Notamacropus eugenii: one gene and its partners. The protein of the gene in region 1 purifies or fractionates together with the protein of each later gene. This does not show direct contact. Links are inferred from orthologs where the notes say so. Each region holds a gene or a part of one and is shown in the gene's direction. Other genes may lie near its edges. The genes, in order: EZH2, YBX1, SMARCA5 and TRIP12.

The links.
Region 2: the proteins of EZH2 (region 1) and YBX1 purify together in Homo sapiens (affinity purification with mass spectrometry, with the first as the bait; 3 studies listed by BioGRID). This does not show direct contact. The link is inferred for Notamacropus eugenii from reciprocal best matches to the Homo sapiens genes EZH2 and YBX1.
Region 3: the proteins of EZH2 (region 1) and SMARCA5 purify together in Homo sapiens (affinity purification with mass spectrometry, with the first as the bait; 3 studies listed by BioGRID). This does not show direct contact. The link is inferred for Notamacropus eugenii from reciprocal best matches to the Homo sapiens genes EZH2 and SMARCA5.
Region 4: the proteins of EZH2 (region 1) and TRIP12 purify together in Homo sapiens (affinity purification with mass spectrometry; 3 studies listed by BioGRID, with this or other methods). This does not show direct contact. The link is inferred for Notamacropus eugenii from reciprocal best matches to the Homo sapiens genes EZH2 and TRIP12.

Annotation. Positions count from the first base shown.
Region 1 is NC_092874.1:98,220,541-98,227,899, forward strand, and holds the start of EZH2 (histone-lysine N-methyltransferase EZH2), read left to right. Parts: upstream 1-4,338; 5' UTR 4,339-4,428; intron 4,429-7,359. UniProt on the Homo sapiens protein: Polycomb group (PcG) protein. Catalytic subunit of the PRC2/EED-EZH2 complex, which methylates 'Lys-9' (H3K9me) and 'Lys-27' (H3K27me) of histone H3, leading to transcriptional repression of the affected target gene.
Region 2 is NC_092876.1:74,521,897-74,529,846, reverse strand, and holds the start of YBX1 (Y-box-binding protein 1), read left to right. Parts: upstream 1-4,886; 5' UTR 4,887-5,668; coding exon 5,669-5,834; intron 5,835-6,486; coding exon 6,487-6,550; intron 6,551-7,950. UniProt on the Homo sapiens protein: DNA- and RNA-binding protein involved in various processes, such as translational repression, RNA stabilization, mRNA splicing, DNA repair and transcription regulation.
Region 3 is NC_092877.1:140,691,647-140,699,515, forward strand, and holds the start of SMARCA5 (SWI/SNF-related matrix-associated actin-dependent regulator of chromatin subfamily A member 5), read left to right. Parts: upstream 1-4,763; 5' UTR 4,764-5,150; coding exon 5,151-5,315; intron 5,316-6,167; exon of another isoform or gene 6,168-6,183; coding exon of another isoform or gene 6,184-6,186; intron 6,187-7,869. UniProt on the Homo sapiens protein: ATPase that possesses intrinsic ATP-dependent nucleosome-remodeling activity.
Region 4 is NC_092877.1:329,353,277-329,360,935, reverse strand, and holds the start of TRIP12 (E3 ubiquitin-protein ligase TRIP12), read left to right. Parts: upstream 1-4,616; 5' UTR 4,617-4,678; intron 4,679-4,760; exon of another isoform or gene 4,761-4,946; intron 4,947-5,184; coding exon of another isoform or gene 5,185-5,280; exon of another isoform or gene 5,281-5,356; intron 5,357-5,803; exon of another isoform or gene 5,804-5,965; intron 5,966-6,120; exon of another isoform or gene 6,121-6,175; intron 6,176-6,536; exon of another isoform or gene 6,537-6,618; intron 6,619-7,096; exon of another isoform or gene 7,097-7,188; intron 7,189-7,659. Other genes in the region: FBXO36 (F-box only protein 36), read right to left, coding at 5,185-5,280. UniProt on the Homo sapiens protein: E3 ubiquitin-protein ligase involved in ubiquitin fusion degradation (UFD) pathway and regulation of DNA repair.

The DNA of each region.
Region 1 (7,359 bases):
GTAGTGGGAAGCATGATTTAACATGGGCCTTCTGGAACCATGACTGGTCAATATAATGATTACAGTTCTTGTCTTTTAGAGCTGTTTTTCTTTACAATATGTTTATGATTATATATTGCTTTCCTGGTTCTACTTACTTCGAATTGTGAGAAAAATGTAATTTTCTTGGTAGTTAACAGCAACATAGGGAGAAACCATTGGATTCCTGTGGTCCCTGAAGCCTAGGGATCAACAAGAAGTTAAAGCTTTGATAAATGGGAGCAAAAAAAGGCAAAAAATGAATTTTGCTTTTTGCTGTTATCTGGAATGATTTGGACAGTGTGAGTCTATTGCAAAGGATGCTTTTCTAGTAACTGCAAGTTCATTTTTATTTTGGGAGACTCTCCATTATCAAAGTATTACTATAAGACCTGTATAAGTTTATGTGGTGAAAGGCATCTGACTCAGTGGACTATTGAGGGGTTGTCCTTGCTAGTAATTCTATATCTGTTTTCTTTCTGAGAAGAACCTAAACCAAAGTATGGTACAATGGACCTTAGGTCCCTGTAGGTAAGAGAGGGGGAGCAGAGTGACAATGTCGACTTAAACTCAATATTTCATTGTTTTTTGTTTCTTTGCATGAGGAATAAAAGCTGTTCTGTACTGGATATATACATTTTTACCTTTTGCACCTATCTGTAGAGATCTAGATACTAATTATATTCAAATTATTTCCATAAAGACTTCCTAATTCTTTGTTATAAGGGATAGTTCTTTGGGAGAGGCTGGGGGTGGGCTGGTGGAGAAGAAAGTTTGAGAAATGAAGGTGATATAAAAACAAATGATATAAGCAAAAATTGGAACTCCCTCCCCCCCTACATATCTATCTTACAAAGATCTCTTATTCGACATCCTTTCAACTTAGGCTGTTACTTTAGGCAAGAGGTGCCTTCTCTCCATTCATACCATAGCATCCTAGTGCATGCCCTCACTGCCTCTTATCTGAACAGTTTATTCCAAAAGTCTAACTAGTTTCCCCACTCCAATCTATTCTCTAAACAGCTGCCAAACTGAGTCCTAAAACACAAGTCTGACCATGTCAACCCCTAGTTTCAGAGGCTCCCTATTGCCTTCCATGCTGCTGGAATTTAAACCTCTTTCCAAAGTGACTACTTTGTTTCACCTCTCACCTTCATGATTTTGTACCAGCTGGCCCCCACACCAGGGATGCTCTTCCTCTAAAGAACCTCTGCCTCTTGGAACATCTAGCTACTTTCAAGGCTCTTACAGATACTCCCTTCCCCTACCCTGAGTATTGTGCTTGTAATCTTAAATTTATCTGTGAGCATGTTGTATCTCCCCAGGATAATGCAAGCTCTGCGAAGGGACAGTCTTACTATCATCTCTTTATTCCCAGCATGGTAGCTAGCACAGAGAAGGTGCTTCATATGTGCTTACTGATTGATGACTAGTTTTTGTTAACTTTTGTTAACTTTGTTAACTTCTTAGCTACGAAAGGAACTGTGAATTGCCAGAAACAGAAATGTTTTGCTTTGAGAAAGTAAAATAACTAGCCTCTGACACAAGCTGTGTGACCAAGGGCTAATCACTTAAACTCTCAGTGTTCCAGGTAACTAAAACTTTTAAGTTATCATGGATGGAGGGAATTCCCAAACCAGGAATGCTCCATATAAATATCACAAATCTAGACCAAAAAACCAAACAAACCCAAATTCCATGAGGCATGATTTTAAAAGACAAATTGCACGGAGACTCATTTTTTATGCTCACTTTATGTAGTCTTAAAACAGTTGTCATACCCTTTACATGACCAAACGTTGATTACAACTCCCACCCCAATACTGTTCTCTTTGCCAATACCTTTGACTCTGGAGCAAAAAAAAAAAAAAGTTCTCCCAAGTCTCCATGTGGAGGGCTCAGAATGCTAGCCAACTCCTCATTTCCTACCAGTTGCACTGTCTGGATCATTATTACACCCCCCCTCTCCAAAAAAAGCTTATCACCAGGTAATTGATCATTATAGAGATTGCATTAGCTTTGGAACTCACATCTCAATACCTTAAATTACTTTCAGTTGGATTGGAGGGCTGAACATTTCCCGCCCCAAATCCCCCATTTACAGAGAGCTCAGAAGCCTACCTAACTCTTCATTTCCCACCAGTGGCATAGCTTGGATTCTACTGTACCATCATGGCCCCACGCTGAACCTTTTCAACCTCCCCACTCAGCTTCCTTTTCTTTTTCATTAGATTATAAGTTCCTTGAGAACAGGGACTGTGTTTGGCACACAGTGGGCACTTAATATTTATTGCCTATTTGTTACTATTTGCTGTATTGCATTGTACATTTCAATAATCCCAAATCTTCAAATCTCCTCCCTACAGGAGACTGCATGTGGTTATGGGTGGGAATAATGATGGTGATGAGTCCCATAGAAATTACAGGGCAAGTCACTAAATGAAGACTTCTGATTTGAATTTTCTAGTATTATCTTTGAACAGGAGGCAACCAGAAAGAATATCATCAGAGGTGCAAGACACAAAAAGGTCCACTAGAAAAAGTGGGCTGGTCATGTGACAAAGGATGAGGGATAACGGATGGAAAGCCCCCAGCTTCTGTTGGCATCCCGATCACAAGATATAGAGGAAGCCTAGAACCTTGGGTGAACCCTGTGCAGGCCATAGATTGCCATGCGATGCATAGGACATGCTACTATACCCTTAGGGGTGAATAGGAATCCATATTCATTTAAGTGTCATCTTTACAAACTGAAAAACAAATTATACGTAATCCTTGTAGTTCTTTATTATACACTTGATCATTGGGGTTTTCTCAATTATAATATTTAGTCCCAGTGTAAGTGGGCAATTCCTATCGAGTTAAATGTATACATATGTAAATTACATATAAATGTATACATACGTGTATAAAACAGCATACATATCAATAAACATTCTAAAAAATGAATTGCCCGTGTCCCTTTAGAAATTTAATTTAAACTACCTTAATGTCTTGGTTAAAAAAACCCCAAGCAAACCACCGAAAAAGTGCAATTCACGCGGTGTACGGTCGGCTTCTGTTCCCGCGTGTGGAGCCGGGTTTTCCTAAGGTCACTAAGGCTTCACAAACCGCCCGCGCGGGGGCCGCTCTCCATTCCGCCCAGCGCATGTGGGCGCTCCACCCGCGGGGCTGGGAGGCCGACACGTGCGCTCGGGCTCGCAGCCACCACACCGCCGAGGCTCTCAAACCCGGGGGCTGGGAACGTCACTGACAGCCTTTCACTTATTTTCTAAGGGCAGCCCCGCGGCCGGAGGCCCGGCAGAGGTAGCGAGCAGCCGGCTCTCGGCCCTGCCGGCGGGAGGGCCCCTAACGGCCGAGCGCCCCAGCGCTCCCCGCCCCAAGCGAGCGCGCTCATTAGTCGGCCCGGCTCCCGCCAGGGCGGGCGGGGAGCGCCGCGCGCCTCGCATGCAAATCAGCGGCAGAGCCCCAGGCGCCGAGCCGCCCCTAGCGGCCGTCAAGCGCAGCCTCCGGCCGGACTCGATCGGAGGCGAGGCGGCGGGCTCCGGAGGCCCCGGGATGCCTGGGCTCGCCCCAACTCCCGGGGTCTCCCGGGGACACTTCACCTCCGCCCGCCCGGGGCCCCGCCTGGCCCAGCCCGCCCCTCGGGAGAGAAAGGAGAAAGAGCGCGGCCGTTAAAACCGTTACCACGCCTTGAGTTTCGAACTGATTCAAACTTGGCCGCCAAGGCCCCTTGAACTACACCTCCCTCCGACGCCCCTCCGACGCCCCTCCTCCCCTCCTCTCCCCTCCCCTGCCCCGCCGGGGCTCGGAGGTGGCTATTCCCGCCAAGATTAGAGCAACATCTCCGTCCTTCCCCGCCCGCCACCCAGATCCTTCCCCTTTCCTCCCCGCCCCTCTCCCGGCCTGGCTCGTCCAGCCGGCCCCTCCTCCCCTCCTCCCCCTGCCGCGTTCGCCCCGCGGCCCATTCGCCTTCCCGATCCGTACCCTGCGTGTAAAACGAGAGAACAAAGGGACGGCGGCGGTAGTTTCGCACGTAAAAACCCCCAGCGTCTCAGGGAGTGTGTGTGTGTATGTGTGCGCGTATATGAGAATATGTGTATGTGTGGATGTGTGCGTACCGTCCGGAGATAAGTATATGCGTGGGGCTGTGGGTCTTCCCGGCGCCTGGGAGCTCGGCGGGCCCTCTGATTGGATGGAAGCCTGCCTCTCGTCCCTCCAATCGGGGCGGCGCTTGATTGTAGTGGGGGGGCCAATGAGAGCGATGGCGATTGGGCTGTCAGGTTTGGCGCTCGGTCCGGTAGCATCCGACACCCACAGGGACAGAGAAAGCAGCGGAGGACCGGTGGCGGCGGCGGCGCGCGGGAGCAGCGCGCGGGGAGCGGCGCGGGCTGGGGAGAGGGAAAGAAGGTAAAGCCACCCGGCCGGCTCCGGCTAGCGGGACGGGCTCAGGAGCCCGAGGAGTTACGGGCGGCGGCGATATTGCTCGTCTCCGGGTATCGCCCCGGAGAGGGGTTCACCCGGCGCCTTCTTTGTATGACCGGGGGGAAGGGATCCCGAAGCTGGGGGGACTGGGGGTCGGCGGCCCGCGCTCGGGGCGGCCGCAGACGCAGGGGATGGAGTGGCCGGGGTGGGGGGAAACGGCCGGGAGAGCGCTGGGTCGCTGTGCTGGGGTGTTTTGTTTGGTTCCCGCCTCACACCACCCGCTCTCCTTTTTCCTTTTCCGCCTGATCCGTCGGGTTCGGGGCTCGGGGCCCCGTCCCGGCCGCCCCAAGTGTCCTTTGTGTGCCGGGCGTCGGGAGAGCTCCGGGCGTGACGGGACGGACACAACTTGGTGGGACCTTGCACTCAGACAAAGGAGAGACTGTGTCTGACGGAGAGAGCCCGGGCATGTGGGAGGGGGCGGCACAAGTTGGGCCCCCAGCTGCGGGCGGGGTTGGGGGGTGTAGGTCGGCGGCGCCGGCCTCAATTTAGGAGAAAGGGCGCCCCTCCTCCCCTTCCCCAGCCCCCGTCCCTACCGGGTCCCCTTCCCCTCCCCCCTCGGAGCTTATAGACCATGCAGCGCTGGCCGCACTTAGCGTGGGACAGCGTGCACGAGGGAGATCTTGAACTCCGAGTCCTCTCCCACAGGAAACAACTTCGAGCACCGTTGGAGAATTCTCCTCCAGCCTTAGGATAGCCCTTCCTCTCCCTCGCACGGGAAAGATTTGGGGCCGTTTTTTAGGTTTCTCTCCCGTGCTCTTTCCGGGCTTCAGAAAGCTAGTCTATTCCTTATGCTTAGTTTGAGGGAAGAGTTGAGTTGTTTTTCCTTCTCTTTTGTTCTCATTGAGTGCTTTCGGTTGAAGTTCGCTTCTTTTTGTTTCTGAAAACTTATCACTTGGGATAGAGTTCTGCTCAGGGACAGGGTGACAAGCTTTTGGAAAACTCTGTAAACTTAATATTGAAAGCAACTTTTCAATCCGTTTACAAATTTCAAGCCGTTTGTTCAACTTCACAATCTGATTTGAGAATGGAGGCAGGTGCTAAAGACTTATTATATACATCCCATATGCCCAGGAGTTGAAATAATGATATTGGCAAATTTGTTTGAGCTCTTTGATTTGAATATGCCAAGGTTAAATGTGACTTTTTAGATCACAGTAGCATTCTTGTTTTAATTGAATTTGTTTGCCATGAAAAATACCCTTTAGTGATTCAGAAATGATTGGGAGTGAAAATGGCTCTGTATATAAATAATTGAATGAATAATGCCTCATAGTTAGGCTAAAAACTTCCTTTGAGTAACTGGAATAAAACCTTGTGTGTTGAACAGTCTGTTAACGAAGCTTATGAAATAAAGATGTTTAATTATCATATTTTTGAGTCGTTTACTTAACTGTTTTAAAGATTGTCCTCACTTTTTTGTGTATATCTTCTTTTTACTTTAGTTAACATTAGTTTAATAATCGATTGCATTATACACCGTTAAGACACCAACATTTAGCTCTGAACATAAAAAGTTTACCAAGTGTAACATTCTTATTTTTACACATGAGGAAATCAAGGCTAAGAGAGTTTGACTTGTTTAAGGTCACACAAAATAGTAAGTGGCTGAGTCAGATTCAGAACCTGGTGTCTCCTGAGGCAAATTGAACACCCTTTCCATTATACCATATTGCCATTCTTTAGCATTTTGATTTTCTTGATTCTTCCCTACAAGGATGGAAAGCAAATCCAAATCCTTTCTTGTTTTTGTGTGTAGGAAAAAACATCTGCCTAGATGCTTTATTCTTGTCAAGTCAACACGTTTTAAGTGCCTACTATGAGCTGGGAACTGTACTAAGACTGGAACAGATATGTAACCCTAGCCATTTTCGTTGTTAATTTATTTGCAAGTATTTATTTTGATATATATTCTAACTATTCATTGCTCCTATAGTTTGACTTCTGGATATATAGTTATCAAAGACATTTCCCATTTGTGTGTGGTGATGTTCTTTGGGATGTAATGTGAAAATGTTAAGGAATATATCTCAAGACATTATATGCTTTTGAAACAAATTTGTGTGTGCAGGAAAGCAGGTTAAATTTAAAGTAAGAATTTTAAATCATATTCTGCTATGTGATGGCCATTGGAAAAAAAAAAGACAACAGATTTCTCTCTAGACTGTTGAGGTAGACTGTTTAAATAAATAAATAATGTTTAAATTTGAGTGATAAAACATTTTAAATTATTTCCTTTTTTAAAAATCCCTTTAATAATTTTGGTCACAAATTTGCCCAGATGAGTCTGTCATACCTCTTTGATGGTCATTTGGATATTTTGAGACCAGAGGTCCCAGTTCTGAATATATAAATAGGTCAGTGTTCTGACAATTCTGTTGTTTCGTGACTGCAGTTGGAATGAAAATACAGATTTAAGATCCATTACATATTGTTATATTACTAGAAAAATTTCAATTAACAGTCAACTCACCAAGCATATATTAAGTACTCATCAAGTACATATTAAACACTTGGGCCTGGTATTGTGATAAGCTCTGGGGATACAAAGAAAGGCAGAAAGCATGATCCCTGTCCTGAAGGAAATAACATCCCAGTGGGGAGACAACATGCAAACAACTAACTGTACATATAATCATATATACCGTGTAAATGGGAAATAATCTTGGAAGGCACAAGCAGTAGAGTGTGGCTGGAAAGCAGTAGAGGGTACTGGAAAGGCTTCTTGTAGAAGGTGGAATTTGAGTTGAGTCTTGAAGTCTGCAAAGAATCACTTTACATATATGATATGATACTATCATTTACTCTGTGAGTAGCTGCCATTATTACGCTTGTTTTTACAAATGAGAACACTGAAAC
Region 2 (7,950 bases), on another chromosome or scaffold:
TTCCATCTCTAACCTCTCAAAGACCTGATCATTGAACGGAGGTCAGGATGAGACAGACAGATACACAAACATTGATGGCCCAGAGGGGAGAGAGATAGGTCTCAAAGCCCTGGGAGAGTGGGAGAAATGTGACAAGGAAGAGATCACTTGTGTATTTATGTGTCTGGGTATTGAGGAGTTATCAGGGAAGGCTCCAGAGGAGAAACTTCACCTTTAATTATCTCAATAGTCTCGAATATTCTTATTTATCCACTGACCTCTCTGCTGGCTTCCTATCTTGCATCTTAAACCTTCAGACATTTTGGAAATTGTATGTTCAGTAGATGTCTTAAACTCAACATGTCCAAGACAGAATTCATTATCTTTTCCTCTAAACCAGGGGTATGGAACTTGCAGCCTCAAGGCTATATGTGGCCTTCTAGGTCCTTAGGTTTGGCCTTTTGACTGAGTCCAATTTTTATGGAACAAATCCTTTTATTAAGAGAATTTGTTCTGTGACGTTTAGATTCAACCAAAGAGAACCACGTGTGACCTCGAGGTGGTAGGTTCCCCACCCCTGTCCTAAACCCTCCCTTCCAAACTAACCTGTTGCTACAAGAGCACCACCATCCTCAGTCCCTCAGACTTCCAACCTAGGAGTTATCCTGGACCCCTCACTGTCTCTCGCAGTCCTCCTCCCCTGCCATATCCAAGTTATTTCCAAGGCTTTTGGATTTCACCTTTGCAACCTCTCTTTGCATATGCATCCTTTTCTCTCCTCTGACACTGCTATCCCTTCTAGTGCAAGCCCTCATGCCAAGACTATTATCATAGCTGCTGGTGGGTCTGCCTGCCTCCAGTCTCTTCCCCACACCATCCCATCATCCATTCGGCCACTAACATGATTTTCCTATAACTCAGGTCTGATGATGTTACCTTCATACTCCACAAACTCCAGTGACTCCCTGTCATCTCCAGGATCAATTACAAAGTCCTCGGGTATTCCAAGTCCTTCCTAACCTCGCTCTCCCCCCCATTTTTCCAGTTTTCTATCTGCAATCCCCAAGTATTCTTTAGTCCAGTGACATTGACCTCCTGAATGTTCCTCAAACAAGACGCTCCATCTCTTAGCTCTGGGCATTTTCGCTGTGCCCAGAATGCTCTCTCCTCATGTCCACCGACAAGCCTTCCCTGCCTTCCTTTGAGCTCCAGCTAAAATCCCAACTGCTACAGGAAGCTTTTCTGAACCCTTCGTATTTGTGGCACCTTCTCACTATTTCCCATTTATCCTCAGATGTTGCTTGTTTACTACTTGTCTTTTCCAGTTACATTGTGAACTCCTTGAGGGCAGGTGACTGACTATCTTTTGCCTTTCTTTGTATCCCTAGAACTTGGCACAGTGCTTATTTTAATAAGCCCAGGCACTTAATGCTTATTGACGGACCTCAGTTGGGCCATGAAGGGACAGGAAGACTTTGGGCAACATAAGAACTGATGTTTCTGTATGCACTTCACATACATTATCATATCTGCGTGTCACCGTGGCCCTACTAGATTTTACAAGTATTAGGCCCACCTTACAGATAAAGAAACTGAAGTTCTATGACTGACCCATGATCCCAGAATAGTAAGTGTTGAAGTGGGTTTGGAACCTCAGTCCAGTGCTGTTTCTACCTGGTGAAAACTTTCACAAAGCAAGTCCTTTCCTTCTGTAGGAATCAGCTGCTTCCTCCGTCAAGAGCAAGGCTACTAGATGATCTCTCAGATACACTTTTTCTCTGGATCCTAGGAGCCTGTGGTAGCCTACTTGCTCTCTCTCTTCATGGGCCCTTGACCATTCTTACACTTAGGCTTATCTCCTATTTCAGGCTCATTAAAAAGGCCACACCTGCCAGACTGAACATGTCTGAGCCCTTGGGCCACTGGGCAGCTTACTGAGAGAAGGAATCCCTTATTTTTCCAATAATGAAAAAGCTCGCCAGAGGCAGAGGAGGTTCTGGTTGCTCTCAGTTGGCATCCGGAGTTGCTAGGAGAACAGAATTAATGCCTGCAGCACCTTGTTTTGAGGTACTGGAAGAACCAGAAGACAAGCAGCCTCTCTGATGATGCTGCCGGTCTGGGCAGATTCCCTTCCATTTACCTTTCTGCACCTGCCTCCAATTCTTGGAAATAATGTCTAGGTCGATATTGGGCCTGGGGTGGTGGGGATTTCATGTGAAAATACTGGTCCTGGGCACACCGGAGGTTGGGCATTTGTTCACCAAATAAATACTTGCTTGCCGGAGGTAGAATTCTAGAACATGTGGATGGGAAGGAAAGTCATCTGACCCTCTCCTTTGTTGTGCAAATGGGTAAACTGAAGTCCAGAACTAGGCAATGACTTTTCCTTCCATATATTTAATGAGGGACTGGACTTGAATCCAGGTCTCCTGCCTCCTGGAGCAGAATATTATACCAAACTGCCTTGCCACATAGTAAGAAGCCCTGAATCAAGGGTCTGCTCTTGGAGGTTATTTTGGGTTCAGGCCAGGCCTGCTGGTTGGATTAAGATCCAAGAGGGCTTAGCCAGACCTCACTTTGGGCATTATACAGTTCAAAGACAAATATTTTCAAAATTCTGAAGCAAGCGCAGCGATTTGGATCCTGACACAGGCCTAGCCTGTGCCCCAGATCCAGCCAGCCCCGCCCTGCAGTGCAAATAGCAGCCATTACCATGGGCAAGAGATGTTTGTTCTGCGTTTTACAAAGGCTGAAGGGCCACTTTTTAGCCCACTTTGCTGGGCTCCAGAATTCAAACTTGAACCTCCAGGGTTATTCCAAAGCGGTTAGAAGTGTGGAGGTAAGAAGGAACTGATCCCAGCAGTCTGCCTTGATTGAGTGATTGCTGGGTACATGGCCACCTGGGCGAAGGGAAGGGAAGGGTGGAGCCGTTCCTTTCGCTTTTCCTGCCCCTCCCACAGGATCTAACTCTGACTCCAGTCCTGGGGCTTTTTGCTAGAGTTTGCTGAAGTTCTCACCCTAAGCCCTGCAAAGTTTTAGCCCAATTCAGCTCTGCCTAACCCTAGGATTTCCCTCTGGCAGGAGTACTTCTATTATTTTCCCTACTCAGGCAGGTCACAGAGGTACCTGATAATAGTTGTTAATAACAGTTCGGGACTCTTAAAAAAGGACTCCCAACAACATACCTTATCCTATTTGTCACCCACTGCAGATAGCAGGGTCCCCATTTTGCAGATGAAGAAACTAAACTTAGAAAAGTTTGATTTGTCCAGAGGCTCATAGTGACTTAGCACAGGGCCAGGGTTGGGCCTTCCTCTTATGACTCCTAAGGTCAGTATCCTTTTCCACCACTTCATTTAGAGTTGGCCAGGTTCATCCCATCTGTTCAGAATTGTTTCCTTGCTTTGGCCTCCACAGAAGTCCGTGTTTCTCTTGTTTTAGGCTCCCTTTGCCCCAGTGATGCTTCTGAGAAGATGGGTTGGCCTTCCACCTTGCTTCCTTGGTTACTGCCTGCCTTTGTGATCAAGAGATAGGACCTGTCATGGATTCAGGACCCCAAGCCTTTCATTTTTAAATTTGCAACTGTAAATAAAGCTTGTGTTTTGGTTGTCTTTTTTTAAAAAAACTCTATCTAAGGTGAGCCTCAGTCTGTTCACTCTGGCTAAGCTAGACCTGCTGGGATGACTGTGGTTTCACCTCCTAGCTAGCATCTTTCTCTTTCCTAGGCAGTGCTGCACATAACTATGGAACATAGCTGAACTGAGGAAGGGGACAGCTGGTAGAAATGTGTGTTCCAGGCAGGTGGTCAGTTTTCTCCCATTCCTACTGCTTTTCTCCTGTTTGATCCTTTAGCTGAGGGACTATGACAATAATAGAGGAAGATTCAAGAGAGGAATGAATTCCAAAGGAATGTAGTAAGCTTAGGATTTTAGGAAGTTGTGTCAAGTATGCTGTTGTCCTCCGGACAAAGGAGGCAATTTCTCTGTATGCCTACCTTTAAGAGCAAGGAAAAGGGCCAGGGTCTGAGTAAAGAAGCTGCTGGTGATAGGATGAAAATTAGCTGGAATAGTTTGGGAGGCCTTGGCCTCAGCAGTCTGCAATAAAACAACCAGGTCAAAACTTGTGCGCTGGTCTCCTGCTGTACTTGGGGTACAGTAACTCACCAAATTACCAGCAGCTGACAGTGTCAGAGCTAGGGCAGTTAAAAGTCCCCTACCACCCCGCCTCACACCTGCCCTTCCAGCCCTCACAGGGGCAAGGAGCCTGCTTCCTTTCTATCCTCCATCGCACCAGTAGCACCTGCAGTGGCTAACCATGCCTTCTGGTCAGCGTGTGGGTTCCTATTTTCAAAAAGTAGGATCTAGATTTAAACCAGTAGGCCATTTGCAAATAAATTGGCCTTCAAAGTAATTACTTTGGTGACGTGTGCTTGCCTAGTCCTTCATCAAGGCTTCTCTTGCTCAAAACCTGTCTGGATCTCCAAGGATTGCCTTGGGGGCCAGTTTTTTGATGCACACAAAAATCCCTTTACGGACACATCTTGCGCATGAACAAAAAAGCCTTGCCCTGCCACGCCCCCCTCACCAGTTTTGCTGCCAGACAATTAGGGTTGGGGGCTGCAGGAGAAGGTCCACTATTCTATCTACAACACACTGGGGAGGGTGAGCTCACGACCCCAAGGGGCGGCGCTTTTATCTGCCGTTGACGATTAGGAAACTGCCCCCTTCCACCCGCCACTGCCCTCCCAGCCTCCTGCCAGGCTGGGCTAGGCTGAACAAATCCCGTTCCTGCACGTGACGGCCGAGAGGAAGGCGATCACTTTCCTCCTCATTCTGGCCATTATCAAAAATAAAGTTCATCGTAGGATTTCTCTCCACGATGTTCATCCCTATATCTGGGCATTTCCCTAATATAATTAAAGGAAAACTGCTGCCTGACGCTTAATAGGAAAGGGCTCAGCGTTGTTCGTGTCACAAGATAAATGGCCGAATTAGAAAAAGAAATAAAATCCACAATCGGGGGCCCCTGGGTGCCCGCAGCCGGCCATGTGGACCCCGGAGGCGGACGGCCGAGGTGTCATGTAGACAATTTTGCCCCCCCCCTCACTTCCGGGGATGGTGGGGCGTGAACCCGGAGCAACTCTCTCCCCTTTACCCTAGTCGATCCCGAGCGCTCTATGCCGGCCCAGTCAACCAACCTCGACCCAGCTCGCCGACCAGAGCGCTCGGGACTAGGCTGGGCTTGCACTACACCACGCTCCGAGTCACGTTCCCTCTGCCCGCCCTCTCGGGTACTCTATGGTTCAGCAGGGGCTTCACTCTAGTTCTAGTTCCGGTCTCGGTGGCGGCGGCGGCGGAGGCTGGAATTGCTAGTAAGTTGGACAAATTACACTTCCGAGAGCCAATGAGAGCGGGGGAGTGATGCGCCCCTAGCCAATGAGAGCTGGCGCTTCTGGTCAGGTGGCGGATTGATGGCATTTTGAGCCAATGAGCGGAGCATAAGGCGGGTCGCTCGGAGGGCTTATCCCGCCCGTCCCGCCATTCTCGCTAGTTCGATCGGTAGCGGGAGCGGAGAGCGGACCCCAGAGAGCCCTGAGAGCAGCCCCACCGCCGCCGCCGGCCTAGTCACCATCACACCCCGGGAGGAGCCGCCGCTGCCGCAGCAGGCCCCAGTCACCATCACCGCAACAATGAGCAGCGAGGCCGAGACCCAGCAGCCGCCCGCCGCCCCCCCCGCCGCCCCCGCCCTCAGCACCGCCGATACCAAGCCCGGCATCACCGGCAGCGGCGGAGGGAGCGGCGGTCCCGGCGGCCTCACATCGGCGGCGCCCGCCGGCGGGGACAAGAAGGTCATCGGTGAGGGGCATGGTCCGGGCCCGGCCAAGCCCGGGGCCGGTGGGGACGGTGGGGGGGGACCGTTAGCCGAGGGGGGTGCGGCGCGCGGCATGGATTCCGCGCGCTGCCGCCGCCCTCACCTCCTCCCCTTCCTCTCCCTCCCTCTGCGCGCGCCGGCCGAGTGTCCTCGTGCCCAGGGCGCCGCGCCCGCGCGCCGCCTCCCGCGCCCCCTATGGACCCCCGCGCGCCGCCGCCGCCGCCGCGCGCCCACCCGCCCGCCCCTCTCCCCTCGCGCGCTGGCCGCCGCGTGTGTAACGGTTTCCCGGCCTCGGGCCCTCCCGGGCGGCCACGCGCCCCACGGGCGAGCTGGCCAGCGCCGTGGTGCGGGTCCCCTCCCCTTCCTGCACGCTCTCCCTCCCTTCCGCGTGTAGACCGAGGGCGCGGTGCCCGCCCCTCCCGCCGCCGGCCTCCGCAGGCCGGGCGGGGGCCGGCGCGCGCCTTCCCCTCACGTGCTCGCAGGGCTCTTGCGGCCTTCCCGGCGGCTGCGCCCGGGTCCGGCGGCACCCCCCCGAAGGCCGCGGGCCGGGCGGCGGGGCTGGGGGGAGGGGCCGGGCCTCGGCGGGGCTCCGGGCATTTCTTTTGTAACCTTGGATTCCTTCTTTTTTTCTCCCAGCAACGAAGGTTTTGGGAACAGTAAAATGGTTCAATGTAAGAAACGGCTATGGTTTCATCAACAGGTGAGAGAAAGCTAGAGCCGCTCCGCCCTGCCCCCGCATGCGTCCTGGCCCACGCTTGCCACCCCTGACGCGGCCCGGGCCGTGGGTTCGAGTGGTCACTGCCGGGGACCGCAGAGCCGCGGGCCGGCAGCCTCGTGCGTGGGTGGTTTTGGTAACAGTTGTGTCTGAACACGGACTGTAGCAGTCCGACGTGTTCTCGGTTCGAGTGGTAAGTCGGTAGCGGTGGAGGAGCCCTCGCTGGAGGAGCTTGTCTCTTACTGTAGCACATGGAGCAGAATCCGCACAGTAGAAATCCCACCCAGTTGAAAATGTCAGAACCTCCTGAAAAGTCTTCCTGAAGGATTCCCCTTGTTCTGGTTCAAATAAATATGTTATCGTGATACATTTTTTTTTTTAATAACATAATCTTTGTGAGGATGGTGTTCAGAGACCTAACTAACATTGCATCCAATTAACCTTTTTGGAAGGGGGGTAGTCTTGGGTTTGTGGTGCAGTAACGTAGTGAATTACTACATATTATAGCAGGGTTCAGCTGTCTACATAATTTGGAGTAATTCAGATTGAGGCTAACCAAATTTAATATAAAATGTTTTTTCTTTAAAAAATTTTTAGCTTTTCCAGTTTATATTTGTTTTCCCTGTTGTAGCAGCGTACGTTGGTGCTCTTGTTCCCTTTCTTTGTCTGACTCTAGGACCAGCAGTAGGGTGAAATTACTAAGGAAAATGGCAAAATAACCATTTTTTCCAAAACTACAAATAATAGTCTTCTAACTTTTGCTAAATCTTCAACAACTGTAGAGCCTTTCTGATTCTGCAGCTTGGGGAAGTTGAGGCGTGGGCTATAGAATTTTGATTTGAGGTAATGTATTGTCCACTTAGTATACAAAGGTGAAGGAATTGACCTATTTGGGGACAGGAGCTAGGTGGCTCCTGGAGTCAGGAAGACAGTTAAAATCTGACCTGACATTTAATAGTTGAGTGATCCTGGACAAGTCACTTGACCCCTATTGGCCTTGTTTTCCTTATCTGCAAAAGGGAATACTAATGGCATGTGCCTCATAGAGTTACTACGAGGATGAACTGTGAGATCATTGTCAAGTCCTTATACAGTACTTGACACACACACACACACACACACATACATGTATACTTTATGTAAGATAAGCACTATATAAAATTTAGCTATTAATGTTGTTTTATTATTGCTATTAGTGTAGGATACCTCCCTTGAATTTTTTCTAGTAATGGAGGCAGCTATCATGTAGTAGAAAGGGAATGGATTCAAATGCCATCTGTGCTACTGTGTAGTAGTTTGTTTTGGAGGCCCATCTCCTTTCTAGATCTCCATTTCTTTATGTCTAAAATGATGGAGTTGGATTTGATTTGTAAGATGCCTTCCAG
Region 3 (7,869 bases), on another chromosome or scaffold:
ACAAAAAAGCTAAGAACCTCTGTTCTAGGTCTGATCCTGAAAGTTTCAAACTTGGAGCCAGAGTTTGGCTGGCACTAAGGATGGCACTGCCCAACAAATCTCTCTTCTCTGGCTAGAAAATTAGACTCTCATTTTACAAATAATAAATTTTGTCTCCTCTGCACAGAAAATTTGTGGTTCAGAAATGTTGCCCATGAACTCCCCTCTCAAGCTGAGTGGGCAAGCATGTCTACTTTTGTGGGAACTGTATGTTGATCCCTATTGCTGCCACCTTTTGGGTTGGGAAAGCCTACTCTCAGGTCTTTGTCTTCTCACCTCTGCAGAGAAAGTTACAAACATATGTAACTCCCAAGCCAATTACCAAACACTCCTCCACGTAGCCATTCTGCTGGGCTTTCTTCTGTATTCTGAATAAAAAAAGAAAAAAAAAGGAAAAGGGTGGTTTGTCTTTACAGGCTTCATTTCTATGTGCATATCTTGAACAGTTTTCTAAGTCATTTTTAGGATGAATGCTTCATGTTCTGAATTTGTCAACTGAGCATTAGTGGTCTTGGTTAGGATATATGAATATAGATAAGTAACACTCCCTTATATGAATAGGAGCTGGCTTATCATGTCCTTGGCTCTAAAAACTACTCCCACCAAGAGTCAGTCTCTCTCTCTCTCTCTCTCCCTCCTTCTTGGATGTTCTCTAAGAGAACTTAAAGTAAGTGCTGAGTTGGGTGTGAACCAGATTAAAATATGATTGGAAAATATTTAACAAAATAAAAATACAATAGAATATAATGTTAATATGCATTTTTCTAAGTCAATATGCAGGCTGTAGGGATCCTTATGTATGGCTTAGTGGTCTTGTTTCTATTTGAGTTGTACACTTCTGGTTTAGATCTCTCTTAGTCACCCTTGGGAGTGACATCTCTTTCCTATGTAGCAAGAAGGAAGCAGCACAAAGCTGTCTTTAAGGGCGTTGTCCAAGAGGATGTTTGATTCTTTAAAATCTAGATCCTGGGACGGATCTATTTTTATTCATCCCAACCTGGGGGATAGACCTAGGTAAATTTCAAGGGAGAAAAAAGAAATGTAATGTGATGACAAATATTTTCTGTAACGGCAGATACAAATACTGACTTTAGTGATTATTCTTAAAAAACTCAAACCAAACCAAATCAAAAACCAGACACAGACAAGACAGTATTATGTAGTACATATATTACAGCATTTATTTAGTCTTAGTTTTTTCAGGGTAGGAGGAGTTATACAATGTTAGAAAAGCTTAAAGGCATATCTGATATAATATGGTTCAGTGGTATCAAACTCCAATAGAAATATTCCTGCTGGCTACATACTGAAAATCACACATTAACATTTTCTATATTCTATTTTTTACTTATTTTGTTAAATATTTCCCAATTACATTTTGATTCCTGTAGAACTTAGGTGTGTAGCAAGGGGTAGGGGCAAAGCCACTGATCTGACGATTCTGATCTAGCTCATTCACTTCATTTTATAGATGAGTCTCAAAGATTTGGTGGATGACTTGCTCAGGGTCATGTGGCTAATTATTGGTAGAGCTAAAGGCGTAGGGGTGAGGTCTGGAAGAAGAAAAGCCAGCAAACATTTATTAAGTGCCTACTATATGCTGGGTACTGTGCTAAGCACTTCACAAATATCTCATTTGATTCTCACAACCACCTACTATTATTATTATCCCCATTTTACAGTTGAAGAAACTGAGGCAGAAAGGGGCTAAGTGACTCCAAGGGGCCAAGGTCACACAGCTAGTGTTTGAGGTCAAATTGGAACTCAGCTCTTCCTGTACTGAGTCAGCACTCTAACCCCAGCTGCCTCAGCTGGGTAAAAATAGAACCTGGATATATTCCTTGTTCAATGCCCTTTCTCCTGCATGAGACCTTGGCCTAAAGGGCTGAAGGTCTCCCAGTGCATCCTGGGCCATCTCCAGTCATCCTGAGGAATATCAGGTCACTGGATTCAGATGGCTCTGGAGGAGAAGTGAGGCTGGTGACCTGCACACCCTTCCCTCACTCAAAACAAAGTCAAATACAAGTCATGTCATCTCTCTGATGGCATGGCCTTCTTTGGCAACGAAGGATGAACACAATTCTCCCACATCATATTTCTTCCCCTTGACTCCATGCCCTCACACACCCCCATATGGAAACAGTTATCAAGTTTTCTTGATTCTATCTCCATAACCTCTCTCTTATTTGTCTTTCTCCAACTTACCCAGTGACCACCTTAGTTCAGGCTCTCGAGTCCCACTGGTACCAAGACAATAGATTCCTACTTGTTCTCCCTGCCTCAAGGCTCTCACCTCTCTTATTCATGTATTCTACACAATTGCTAAGTGAAACATGTCACTGGTTCTCTATGACCTCTAGAATGAATAAAAAAATCCTTTGATCAGCTTTACTGTTCCTAGCCTATCTTCCCAAGTTTATTACATATTACTATTTCCATTTTTGTACTCCATAGTCTAATTAAAACAGATCTATTCACTGTCTCTCATACACAACATTTTATTTCCTGTCTCTGTCTTTGAACAGGTTTACCCTAAGCCTGGAATGAGTTTCTTCCTCAACTCCACCTTTCGAGTCCCTTGCTTTTTTTCCTTCATCGCTCAGCCTAAGTGCTGACTTGTGTCCTTTCCTGATCCTCAAAGCACTATTACCTCCTTCTCCCAAATTCTCTTGTTTACTTTGAATATATTGTTATCTACTTATGTGCATAGATTCGTTAGTTTTCCGAATTAGCTGAAGTGTGAAACAGTGGAAAGAACACAGAACTCAGATCCAGACACGAGCATGAATCGTCACTGTGCCCCTTACTGACCTTTGGCATAGAACCTCTTAGGTAGCAAAGAGGATAGAATGATGAGTTTTGAGTCTTGGAGACTTGGGTTCAAATAAGGCCTTGGACAAGTCTCAACCTTTTTGCCTGTTACTTCAACTGTAAAATGGAAATATCAAAAGTACCTACCTCTCAGGATTGTTATGCGGATCAAAGGAGACAATATCCATAAAGCACTTAGCACAGTGCCTCACGCTTGGTATGTGCTATATAAATGTTAGCTAAGATTATTTGGGGCTCTTTGGTGGTACAATGGATACAACGCCAGGCTTCAGGTTAGGAAGACCTGAGTCCAAATGTGGCCTCAGACACTTAGTAACTATGTGACCCTGGGCAAATCATTTAACCCTCTTTGACTCAGTTTCTCATTTGTAAAATAAGCTGGAGACAGAAAAGGCCAACCACTCCAGCATCTCTGCCAAGGAAATCCCCCTAACAGGGACATGAAGTCGGACATGACTGAAAAGACTCAACAACACCCAGCCCCTGGAGTTTGCCACATCTGTATTCTGGGGGGGCAGTGTGATGCAGTAAGGCCAGGGGCAGACCTGGGTTGGGATTCTGCCTCAGGTACTTCCTAGCTGTGTTACTGAAGGCCTACCCCCACCAACTCTGCCCCTCAGTGTCTCCACCTGTAAAATCGGATTAGACTTGACGGCATCCAAGGCCTTTCCAGCTCTACACTCATGATGCTTGAAGGGCGGTGTGCTTCTTTGGCTTTTCACATTATGTATGTGACAGCAGTATGACATTCAGGCCATCCCAGCCCAGCCCGCCCTCCCTCCCAACAGAGGCCAGCACAAGCCATGCCATCCTTCTCCGTGGCACGGCTTTCTTCGCGATGGAGGGGGGACCACGGGCGCTTTTGAGGGTCTTTGCCACCCAAAGAGGTGTTATGGATGCTTAGGAGGGCACACGGAAGGCTCCTTTCGGCCAGCAATGCCAGGCTGCTCACAGAAGCGCTGGACCCACGCACAATGCCAGTCTCTCCCGCCTCTCCAGGAGCTTCTGCCTGGAAGATGCCTCCTGCCCTCCCGGGCGCGGCTCCACCGCCCCACTCACGACGATGGCTGCGTTTTCTTCGTGGGTCTCCTCTGAGCTTACAGGGAGGAAAAAGGAAGGGGGAAAGAAGCACGCTGGGGGCGGCGAGGCCAAACAGGAGATGCCGGCCGGTGCATAGGAGGAGGACTGGGGCTCCCCAGGCCCCGGATTCAAATCCAAGTCCGCGATCCTGGGTATGGTCCCGGGAGCCGGGGCTCCGGACTCGGGGGACGTGGGTCCCTCCGGGCGCTCCCAACTGTGAGGAACAACTTTGTGGATCCTCGGAGGGGGCGTGGGATCTAGAATAATCCTAAAGTGGACCGGGAAAGGGCTGGGTTCAAACCCCACCCTCGGCCCACCGGGGCGCTGCTCGAGTCACGTATTGCCCCCGGGCTCCGGACTTCCGCGCCCACACCCACGCAGGTCCGCGTCGGGAGGAGGTCGCGGGAAGGCCGCACCGCACGGGCAGGGCCGGGTGGCGCGGCTTCGGACGACGTCTCAAGAGCACGACGGCAGGGGACTGACCGGAGGGCCGGGGCCTAACTCCTGCGGGGCCCGGCCGCGGGGATTCCGGGTCTGCGCCGTGGGCCGCCCGGGGACCCCGTCGGCCCCCTGGAAGCGAGCCAGCAAAGGAAAGGCCAGCGCCTGACCAGTAGGGGAAGGCCGTTGGAGGGGGGTCGTTGGGGGCCGTGCGAGTGCGCTCCTCGCGGCGACGGGCGGGCGCCCATTGGCTCGCCCAATCTCCACGCGCATCCCAGGACCCGCCCTCTTCGCCCCTCCAGCGCCCCGCGTGCGGCGGAGGGAGGGGGTGGGGAAAGGGCCATCGCGCGCGCGCTAGGGAGCGAGTGGGGCCGGCCAGCCAATCGGAGGGCCGGCCGGCGAGCCCGCATTCTCGCGAGAACTGGAAGCCGGCGGTGGCGGCGTCTGTGTTAAGGACGGCATTGGTTCCTGGTTGGTGGCGAGGAGGCTGAGAAGCGCCTGCAAGGAGAGAGGACGCAGAGGGAAAGCAGCCAGTTGCCCCTCGCGCGCGCTCTCCTTCTCCCTCCCCTCCTCCCAGGCTTCCTTCCCTTCCCTTCCCCCGACTCCGAGCCCAGCCGTCCGCTCCAGGCGACGGGCGTCCCGCTGAGAGGTGAGCGGCCGGCCCGGCGGGCCCCGCGAGGAGGAGAAGGAGGAGGAAGAGAGGGAGGAGAGCTCCGTCCCGGCGTCTCCTCGCCACCCGTGTGCCCGGCCGCGCCGCAGGCATGTCGTCCGCGGCCGAGCCGCCGCCACCCCCGCCGCCGACCGCGGAGACCGTGCCCCCCGCCCCGGCCGTGCCCGTCTCTGGCGGCGGCGGCAACCACAACAAAAGCGGCGTGGAGAGCGCCCCGGCCGCGGCCGCCCCCCCTGCGGGCGACGCGGAGATGGAGGTGAGCGGGGCAGCCCGGGGAGGGAGGGACGGAGCCCGGGCGCCCGCCGGGACGCCGGCTAACGCCCCCCGCAGGTCCCCACGCGCCGGCCGGAGCACGCGCGCCCCTCTCCCTAACTTTGGAGCCCGGGGACGCGCCTCGGCGCCCCCCGCTCGGAGGTCATCCGCACCCAAGTTGTGGCTCTTTCGAAAGCGGGGCGAGCGGCGGCCGCGCGGGGCCGGCACGGCCGAGACAATGGAGAACGAGCCGGCCAGGCCCCGGGGCCCCGCCGCGGGGAGCAGCTGCGCCCGCACCCCCCCTCCGCAGCCTCGGGGGCACGGACGCGCCGGGCCGGCCCCCGCCTCCTCCGCCTCCTCCGCCCTCCTTTTGTGCGCTGCGCCAGCGCCGGGCCGGCTGCCGAGCCCGCGGGCGGCTAGGCCCTGCCTGGAGCCCCGAGCCGCGGGGGCGGGGGAGGGAGAACAAAGTCAGCCGGGCGGGCCCTCCGGGGCCGGCTCCTCCGGGGCGGGGGTCGGCCCCCCCCACCCTCGGCTGTGAGAATCGGGGCGAGTTCCCCCCCGGGCGGCGGTGACAGCTGGGGAGCCCGGGACCCGGACTGACAGGGCGCCCCTCCTCTCCTCCTCCCCCAGCCGCGTCCCCACGGCCCCCTGGGGGCCGGGGCTCTGACCGTGCCGGTTCTCCAGGCGAGGAAACCGAGGCCGGCGGCCGGCCCAGCCTCCGTGCGACGTCGGGGCGCGCGGGTGACCCAGGGTGCGGGGCGGCCCGGGATGCCCCGGAGCCGTTCGTGTGTCACAATTACAGACACTGCCGGGGGTTGTTGGTCGTCGTCTCTTTTCGAGCAAACTTGGATGCCAACTTTGGAAAGTTTTAGATGGTATTTTATATCAGGAGTTTTTGATTTTTAAACACGTAATTGGTGCAGATTTCAGGCTGAAGCAGATCCCAGACCCTCTCCATGCGCTTCCCATTTTTTATGATTCTTGTTCGTAAATTCTTCTTCCTCTGGTTCGTGAACTAGCTGGGTAGCGGGGGTAGGAAAGTATCACTCCAGTTGTCCATTTGTTGTTTTTCTTGGAACACGGACAGCCTGCCCTCCTTTTCTGATTATGAAGTCCTTGATGTTTCCCTTTACGTCTTTTCTCACTCAGGTTTTTCTTCGTAGTTACCTTGAAGTTTGTGTTTGCCCTGCATTTGTCCTGTTACTTGGGTTGCTTAACATTTTATTCAAAAGTTTATTCTTTTGAGATTGTCGTTGGTATTTGATAATTAACTTCCGAGATGCCATCCTGTTCAATCTCCTACAGCTTGTTAGTAATAATAATAGCTCAGATTTATTGAGTGCTATTAAAAGTTGCAAAGTGCTTTTGCCTTATCTTAGACTTCTTCTGAATTTCACGTAATCTCGTCTTGCATCTTTTCCCTTATTTGAAAATATGAGAAGGGAAGAGGCATGCTACCACATTTTAGAGTCCTTAGTGATTGAGAGGTATAGAAGTATAAAAAGCCTTGTATTTTTCCTATTCAGTGATGCATTAAGTCACATTAAACCCAGAACTCACAAAAACCCTTTTACTGAAATCTATAGGATAGGAAAGAGATTGTATTAAACATTCATACTAGAAATCAAAGTGGGTGAAAAATGCCCTAGACCCACCCTGAGACTGAGCTAAGGTTTTGAGGTTGGGTAGTTGTAATGATTTTTAGGGCAGACTGGAAAGTTTATTGAAATCCCAACAAAGAAATGTAATGAACACTGCAAGTCAAAAGAATTAAGTTAAAATTGAGTTACAGTTTAAGTGTATGAATAAAAATTAAATAGCTTATGTTAATATAATAATTTTGTAAAAAGGTATGTTGTACGAGCTCAGGAATTTTTTTATTTTCTATCCATAGACCTTAGTAATTTTGACATTTCTTACAAGACTTCTGGTATACATTTTTCATTGAAAGTCATTGTATTTCTTACTTCCAGATTGTATTTTAAAGGTTCTTAGGGTAGTTGTCCCTTATTTAAACTGGTTCTCTTTATACAGCTTTATACTTGTGTGTTATTTTCTCCTTTAGATTGTAAAGTGTTGTGCTTGAGCAGCAGTACTGTCCTTTATTGAGGTACATGCTGTGTAATAACCTAAATCTTCCCTAAATCTGCAGAATTGAATCTTTTTCAGTCTGTTAAAAGAAAGAATGCTCTTATTCTTTTTGATGGGCTTAATGTGACTTTTTCTGAACTTTGGAATTTTCTGAAATAGCCTTAATAGATTTTTTTGGTGTGACTTTACTGTGACTCCTGCCATAGTTACTGTAATAGCACACCAACGTGCACTAGGATTTGTAGTCTAGTGGAGAAGTATTATTTCTGTTCATCCGTTGCTTTTTGCAGTGTGGAGAGTATAATATGTTTCCATTCTTTACAGAAACTATTGTTCTACCCTCATCTTTGCAGTATACCTCAGCGTCTTTTCTGTTGGCCTCTGTTGGCTAATACTTATTTGGCCAGAAAGGGTATGCAGACTTTAACCCAGTTTTACTTTAATTGTAATAATGATTATTATTGAAA
Region 4 (7,659 bases), on another chromosome or scaffold:
CTCTTATTATAACAGCAATACTAACAACAATTGACATTTGCGTAGTGCTTTGAGGTTTGCAAAGTACTTTGCCTTTATCCCATTTGATCTAGGATTTACCTGTTATTATAATTGCCTTGCTATTTAATGTGTGTATGGCCCAGAGAGGCTACTGATGAACCTTTTCAAGAAAAGGATGTGATCTGTCCAGTGAAAGCATAGGCTCCCTAGCCCTTCAAATGGGGGCTGGAGATAGATGCTCTGCTGGCACCATATCCTGTCTTCTCCAAGCACACTCTGGTATTCTTGATCTGGTTTTCTATTTCTGTCCATCAGCATATGACTGGTCCATGTATTGCTTGAGTCAGATTCAGCGAGTTTTTGGTTTCCTCTGGCCAATGAATGTTTTCCGTTGTGTAAAGACTTCCCTGGTGCAGGCTGATAGTGGCCTTAGCCTTAGTGGTCCTCAGGTTTGCCATGACTCTTACAAGTCTACGGGCAGTTTCTGTGCTTCAAAAGCATAGGCACATTCAATCACAACAGCTCCTGGATGTTTCATGTGCCTCTGATGGGTGCCACGGCCTACTGCACTGAAAGGATTTCTCAGGTGACCGAGAGCTATTTTAAACTGGCTAGGGACTACTTGACTGCTTCCTTGATCAGGGCTCAGTAAAAGCAGTCAAATATGACAAAGCATTATGAATATACTTACCTTCTATTATTTTAGTGATTTGGGAATGACTAGGTGCTAAATGGATAATTAGCCCAACATTTTGCCCACTGCTAAGGGCACACAGAGTAAGCCTTAATAAATGACTAACATTATCAATTGTGGCAGATCATACCATATAGATTAGCTCCAGTATGTCTGAAAATTTCTTGGAACTGTCCAACCCACAAGCATTTATCAAGAGCCTACTATGTGTCAGGCACTGTGCTAGGCTTTGGGGACAATATAGGGAAAAAAATTATGTCTACCCTCAAGGAGATTACACTTAATAAGAAAGGCCCAAATATGTGCTAGGTCTACTATTTTTTAAGCTCTACAAGCTCACTATATAATGATGGAGTCAATTGAGTATGCTGGTCCTTATATCTGAATGAATGGGAATGAAGTCAAAGGTGCTCCAACTAAGGACAAAAAAGCCTCAATCAATTTATATCTGGAAGGTAAACTAAAATGGAATGCTGTGGTACAGAAAAAGTGGTCGACTGGCTGCAGAAACTGAGTTATTTCCTGTGGGTATTCTACAAAAAGGAGAGTGGCATGGATGAATGAATGTTCTCGTCAGTCCCTCTGAACAGTGGCTTGGTAAGGAGGGGGGGACTTCATCTTCTACCTCTGTGGTCATCTGCCCTCCTTCCCTTGTTGTTTGTCTTTCATTTTCAAGGAGGACCAATGACATCATGGTGACATCTTGACTTATTCATGAACTGGATTTAAGGGAGGTAGAGCTGCACAAGGTTGTCAGCCTCAGTTTCTCTTTCAGAGTCTTTAAAATCCATAGAAGTCCAGTGGCAGGACAAGAGTCAAGAAGATTGATGACGGCAGTGGATGCGGTGGGTGACATTGTTGTCTTCAATGGCTGACCAAGCTCTTAAGCTCTCCACAGCACCTTCAAGGCCACTGGAATAAATTGTTCTCATTCGTTCATTCCACCAGGGAAGTCTTCACACGTTTGGGGAATACATCCCCTAAATCACCAGTAGGTTTGAGGTTTAACCCATTGGCCGAGATGGTTCTGTTGGAGTGTGGTCACTGTGCACACGGCTTCTTGGAGCCACAGGTGAGAGTCGGGGGAATCAGGGGGACCCCCAGGGTGGATGAGCAGTCCTGAAAAGGGCTTGGCAAGCCTTCTCACCAGAAGGGTTAGTCCTCTTGAACACCACACACACCCTGATTTCCCCCCCAATAACAGGCAGGAGTTGTGTCAGAGAATTTGGCTGGGGACGTTTAGTGCCAACTGTTCTCACTATGTCATCTCAGTAACCAGATCTTTCTAAAAACTAATAGAGTCTGACTACCTAAATGATATCAACAATCATGACAAGAAGCACGCTGGTGAGGGCTCGTGAGCTTTGGTGTTAGCAAAGACAACCCCCTAGTGCACTGAGGGGGTCTAGGAGCCCTTCTATGAGAACCTGACTAGTAAATGGGAGGGGAAGTTGGGACGGCTGCCTCCCAACATTGGCTACAACCAGGAGGATCTGGACGCTGTTATTCACAGATCACTTCTGTTGTTAGCATTTATACAGCTTAGGTAAAGTTTACACAGCACTGAACAGAAACTACCTCATTTAATCCTCCCAACAACCCTGGGAAGTAAGTGCTATTACTATCCGCATTTTACAGATGAAGAAATGACATGGAAGTAACGTTTTGACTTCAATAGAAAAGAATATTGACTCAAGAACATCCGTAAATATCTTCGAAACTATCTTCTTTGTTATGATTTTCTGAATTAACCTCAGGGCAAAGTAATTTCTCCTCTCAATTTAATTCAATAAGCATTTTTTTTTTTATGGTTGGGTGACAGACACTTTCTAGGTGCTGGGGGTACAAAAACAAAAATGAAAATAACTCTGCAGCCTCAAGAAGCTTATAGTCTACTGGGAGGGTGTAGGAACAACCTGTATGCAATGAGCAAATGCAGAATATGCGCACATATGTATATACAATTTTTTGGGGGGGAGAATATGAATAATTAGTGGTAGTGGGGAATCAACAAAGGCTTCATCTGGGAGCTAACTTCTGAACAGAGCCAAGACATATTGCTAACGTAGTATTGTACATACCCTTCATTTTGCAACGAGTTAGATACTGCCTGGGGAGATTTCTCTTACAGGACTGTTGCTAAATAACAATTCAAGAGTTAAATTTTTATGTACAGTTCACCTTCCCAAACTAAACTGTAACCCTTCTTGGAGACAGGGACCACGCCTTATTCTTCCTTGTATCCTCCACAATACCTAGCAGAGGGCCGTGCTTACAGTTGAGGTATCTATATCTACGTATCTGTTAATCGATGAAAAGGAATGAAGCAAGAAGAGCCCTGGCAGCGGCCCCCTCCCCCCCCACATGCGTCATTCGGCGGTAAGCACGGCCCCAGGTACAACACATCTCCACCTGGGCACTGCGGACAGGCCCATTTTCTGGATCCGCAGATCTGCTCTGATAACGCACTGCTCTTATCAGCTTCGTCGCCTCCTAGCAGCCAGCCTTTAACTGTAACCGCCCCGGACAAGCTGGAATGCACGGACAAGCACGCACGGCACACACATGTGCATGTCCACGCTGGCTTATCTGCACACGCTCACTCTGAAAGTCTTCATCATGAACATCCGTCGTGCTAACGCGAGCGAAGACGTCTGTACTGCACGTGCGCTACGACACGAGTCACACCGAAAACACCATTTATCTCATGCCGAAAACAGCCTGGCTGGATCTCCTGAGTGGGACGACAGAGCAGACGCGTCCTAAGCCCACACGGCCGCTGGGCCTCCGGTCAGCTCGGTCAGCCCCGGAGGGCCACCAAGGTCGGGCTGGGCCACCTCGCTGACGCGGCAGGGGCCTCGGGGTCACCTGGCTCGCCCAGGTCGCAGAGCTGCTCCGGGCCACCAGGTCGGACCCCAGGCCCGGCGCTCCACGCTCTGAAGCCTGCCTGCTCGCTGCCCAGCGCTGGGGCACAGCGGGGGGGCTGCGGAACACGCACACCCGCCGCACTGCGGAACAGCAGAGGCCTGCGGGCGGGCACGAAGCGGGGAAGGCCTGCTTCCCCACATCGAGCGCTTGGCAGCTTATTAAGGCCTATGGTCAATAACGTTCCAGGGCTCCTCCGAAGCCCACAGACTCATTCTGAGTGCTTAGAAGGCCTGGAGGAAGGAGCAAGGCACCTTCACACACTCTTCTTTTTGGAAGGATCGAAGTCGTCCAGAAGTTCCAGTCTACTCTCATCCGCACGTGATTGACGCCCGGCCACCCCAGGGCAGCACTTCCTCCATGCCAAGGGGTAGAGGTGTCTTTGAGGACACCATGAGAACACAGGGTTATCGTTCTCAAAAAAAAAAAGGTACAACGTGCTGGCCATGTTCTGGTTTCTACAAGGTCCTAGACCTTCAACAAATCTGTTTAAATTTTGACCAATTAAAAAAAGGCTTTTAAAACACTTTCGACTTAAGAGAAATGAGAATTTTCACAGCTGGAGCTCTGGGAAGACGCACGATACAATAAAACCCTGGCCCGCTCTCTCCTTCCGAAGGCGTCTGGGGCGCTCCAAATAGCCCACCCATGGCACCCCGGGGGTCCGTGCCTGGAGCGCACCAGGCCCCGGGCCAGGCGCCGGGAGGGGATCCTTCGGCCCGCGCCTTCCCCTCAGGGAGCTTCCCATCTCCTGGGGAATGTTTAGAAACCCGGAATAGGGAGAACGCCCCGACCCCGGGGGTGCTCCCGAGGTGCCCGCGGCGGCCCCCCCCCCCCCTCCCGCTCCAGGCCTCCGCAGGGCCGCGGCCAACAATGGGGGGGGCCGGCGGCGGCGGCGGCGGGGTGGGTCCCGCACTCCCCCGACGGTCCAATCCTCGGTCACATTGTTGAGAAGCAGATGTCATTATGGGTGGAGCTGACACTGCCGAGCAGCTGAAACATTTTTCTAGCCCAACTCACTCCCAGCCTGCCCCGGGAGAGGGTCTGCGCCCCAGACAGGTGAGTAGAGCTCCGTCCAGCACCTTCTCTCCCCAGCACCGCCCCCCGCCCCAGCCCCCACCCCCTTAAGGGGAACCCGGAAGTTCTGACCCGGGCGGCCGGAGGCGTAAACGCTCGAGTGAAGAGTTCAAAACTTGCTCCGGCCTCTGGGCGCCCGCGCAGACTCGGGCCCCGGAGCCTCCCCCAGCCCGGCTTCTCCGCGGGACGCTCAGGAACCGGCCGTGCTCTGGCTCTCTCCTCGTTTCCTACTGCGGGCCGAGGCCTGGAGGCAAGCAGGGGTGGGGAGGAGGGAGACCGGGGCGAGCCCGAGGCAGGGCCGAGGCGGCCTCTGCGGGCCTGTGCCTTGGCCGCGGCTGGGATATGACCGAGGGAGTCTGTGCGGTTGTTCAGAGCTAGGGCTAGGGAGCTTCCGGCCCACTCGGGCAGCGCCGGGGGGCCGTATCTGGGGTGGGGTCGAGCGGGGACGGGAAGGTGACCCGAGTGGGCGTTCCACGGTTCGCACTCGCCTGGGACCGGGTGATCTGCAGCTGGTAGTAGTCTTTACTCGGCGCCGGGCCTTGTCCGCCGGCTTCGAACAGAGTCTCTGGCAGCAGCGACGCCATCTTGGGACGCCACCGCCGTCGCCTCGGCAACCAGGAAGGGGCGGGACTTGGGCTGGGGTCATGGGGCCAAAGTCCTGGTAAATCGGGGCCCAGCTTAAGGGCTAGAGGGCTTCCAATTTAACGTGCTCCGGGCACCCCTTTATCCTCTGTGGGGCCTGGTTCAAACCACATCCATGAAGCTTATACTTTGGCGACCCCATTGACCCGAAGGGGAATTAGTTCCTGCTACCAAAAGAGAGACGGGTGGGGGTGGGGGGGGTGACCCCGGCGGAGGGATACCAATAGAAGCCTACACATCCCCCTTCCTGGTCCCTCGTAGGGATCGGGAGATCTGAAAGCGGTCGGGGGGGGAAACGGGGGTCGGGCGGTGGGGGGGTGGGGGGGGGTAATGTGATGTGCCGCGGGTCGGGCAGTGGGGCCTGTCCCGCGGGCATGTCCCTGGCGAGGAGGATAAAGTAGTTCCTCGCCAGAGTGTTAGAACGGGTGGGGGGGCGGGAGGGGGAGGGAGGGAGGTGAAGGCGGAGGGGGACGCTCGGCGCGGTGCTGCGGCTCAGCTGATAATTGAAGGGACCGGAGGATCCGCTGCCGCCGCCACCGCCGCTGGGGGGGGGTGGGGGGTGGGGGAAGAGAGTGGAAGTTACTGCCGCGCCACGGAGTCCGGAGCGGAGACTCGGGGCCGAACTAGGTAACTGAGACGCGCCTGCCGGGGCCGGGCTGGGAGGCCCGCCGCCGCGGGAGGGGGGAAGGGCCGCTGTGGAGCCGGGGGGAGGGGGCGCGGGAGACCTGTGGGGGGCCGGCGGGCGCAGAAAATCCCCGGGAGCCTTGTCGTGTCACCGCCTCCATTCGGCCCCATCTCGGGCCTGCTGCAGGCCGGGCCCGAGGCGCCAGGCCCGCGGTAAGGGGCGGGAGCTGCACTGGAAAGATGAGTTGGAGAGGTTTAGGATTCGGGGCCAGGGGAGGGGGAGAGAGAGTGGGGCAGGGAGCGCCCGCCGCCCCCGGAAATGAGGGTCCTTTGGAGACAGTTAAAGGGGGTGTGTGTGGGGGAGACGACAGGAGAACTGGGGGTCCGAAATGGGGGTTCAGTCGTCCGAGGGGGGTGTAGGAAGAGAGTAGTGGGGGGCCGGAAGTGCAGGTGGGGGGGGTCTATGGAGACGGAGAGGGTTCCCCGGAAATGGGACAGGGGGCCCGGAAATGGGGGGGAAAGGACCACTGGGAGGCCCGAGGCGGCCCGGAAAGGGAAGCCTGGGAGCCGGCGGAGGCACCCCGGGGCTGGAGGACAGCCGAGGAGCCGAGCGGGGCTGAGAGAGGCCGCGGGCCCTCGAGCCGGGGCCGACCGCGGTGTGTGCGCCGCGGAGCGAGGATGGAGGCGGGGAGGGGGCGGGGACGCGGAGACCCCGGAGGAGGGGGCGAGCCAGGGCTGCCCCCCTACGGAAAAGTGAAAAGTTGGGTCCGCCAAGGCTCTCGGGCCCTCGGCTCGGAGTGCTGGCCACGGCCTCGGCCTTCCCCGGCGTGTGTGCGCGCGCGTGTGTGTGTACGTGGGCACGTGGTGCGTTAAATAAACACCGTCTTGTCGCCTCCCGGCCCCCCCAGCACCCCTCTCTCCCGGAATGCTTGTACAGGAGGGAGTTTCAGTGACAGTGCCCGAGGACACGGACCCCACGCGTTCTCGCGCATCGTCCACCCACGCGGCGAGCTTCTCCTTGGAAGAAGCAATTCCCCTTCCTGCTGATTTTGAGGGGGGGAGGTTAGAGCCCAGCCCCCACCCCAGACTGGTCTAAATGACGCCGGTGCCCGAAGTCCTGACGGGGGTGGGGGGATTGGTTTCTCCTGGGCACTGTGGCGTACCGAGAGGCTGCTTGCAGTTCGCGAAGAGGTTTTCGGGTTGGTGAACGCCAGTTGGCCGTGGAGGTGGGCCCTGACGGAGGTGAAGCGGGATTGCATTCGGAGGAGGAGGAGGAGGAGGGGCTGGGGGCTCCGGGCCCGGGCTGGCGCCGGGCGCGCTGTGGGTGTGCTCGGACTCTCCCGGGCTGGCTCCGGGGCTGCCCAGCCACCCGATTTCCCTGCTTTCCCAGCCTCGGTAGGCCCCTGCCTGCTGGCTCGGAACTTTTCATTCTGCTCGAGAGTCTCTCCCGACCGGTTAGGGGGCATTGAATCTCTCAGGCTCCCGAGAGTTGAGGCTTAAAATCCCCGTTCTGAAATAAAGGCAAGTTTAGAAAGTTGAAAGAGCTATTGAGTAGGGAAAAAACCGGCTCTTGGAACAAAGGTCCTAGTTGTGTGGGAGAAGGCAAGAGGCCTGTCTCCGAGGCCTGTGTGTGTCGCATTTACACCGTGGGGGAGGGAAGCGTTCAGGGCTTGCTTTATTGGTTGGAGTGATTGCTG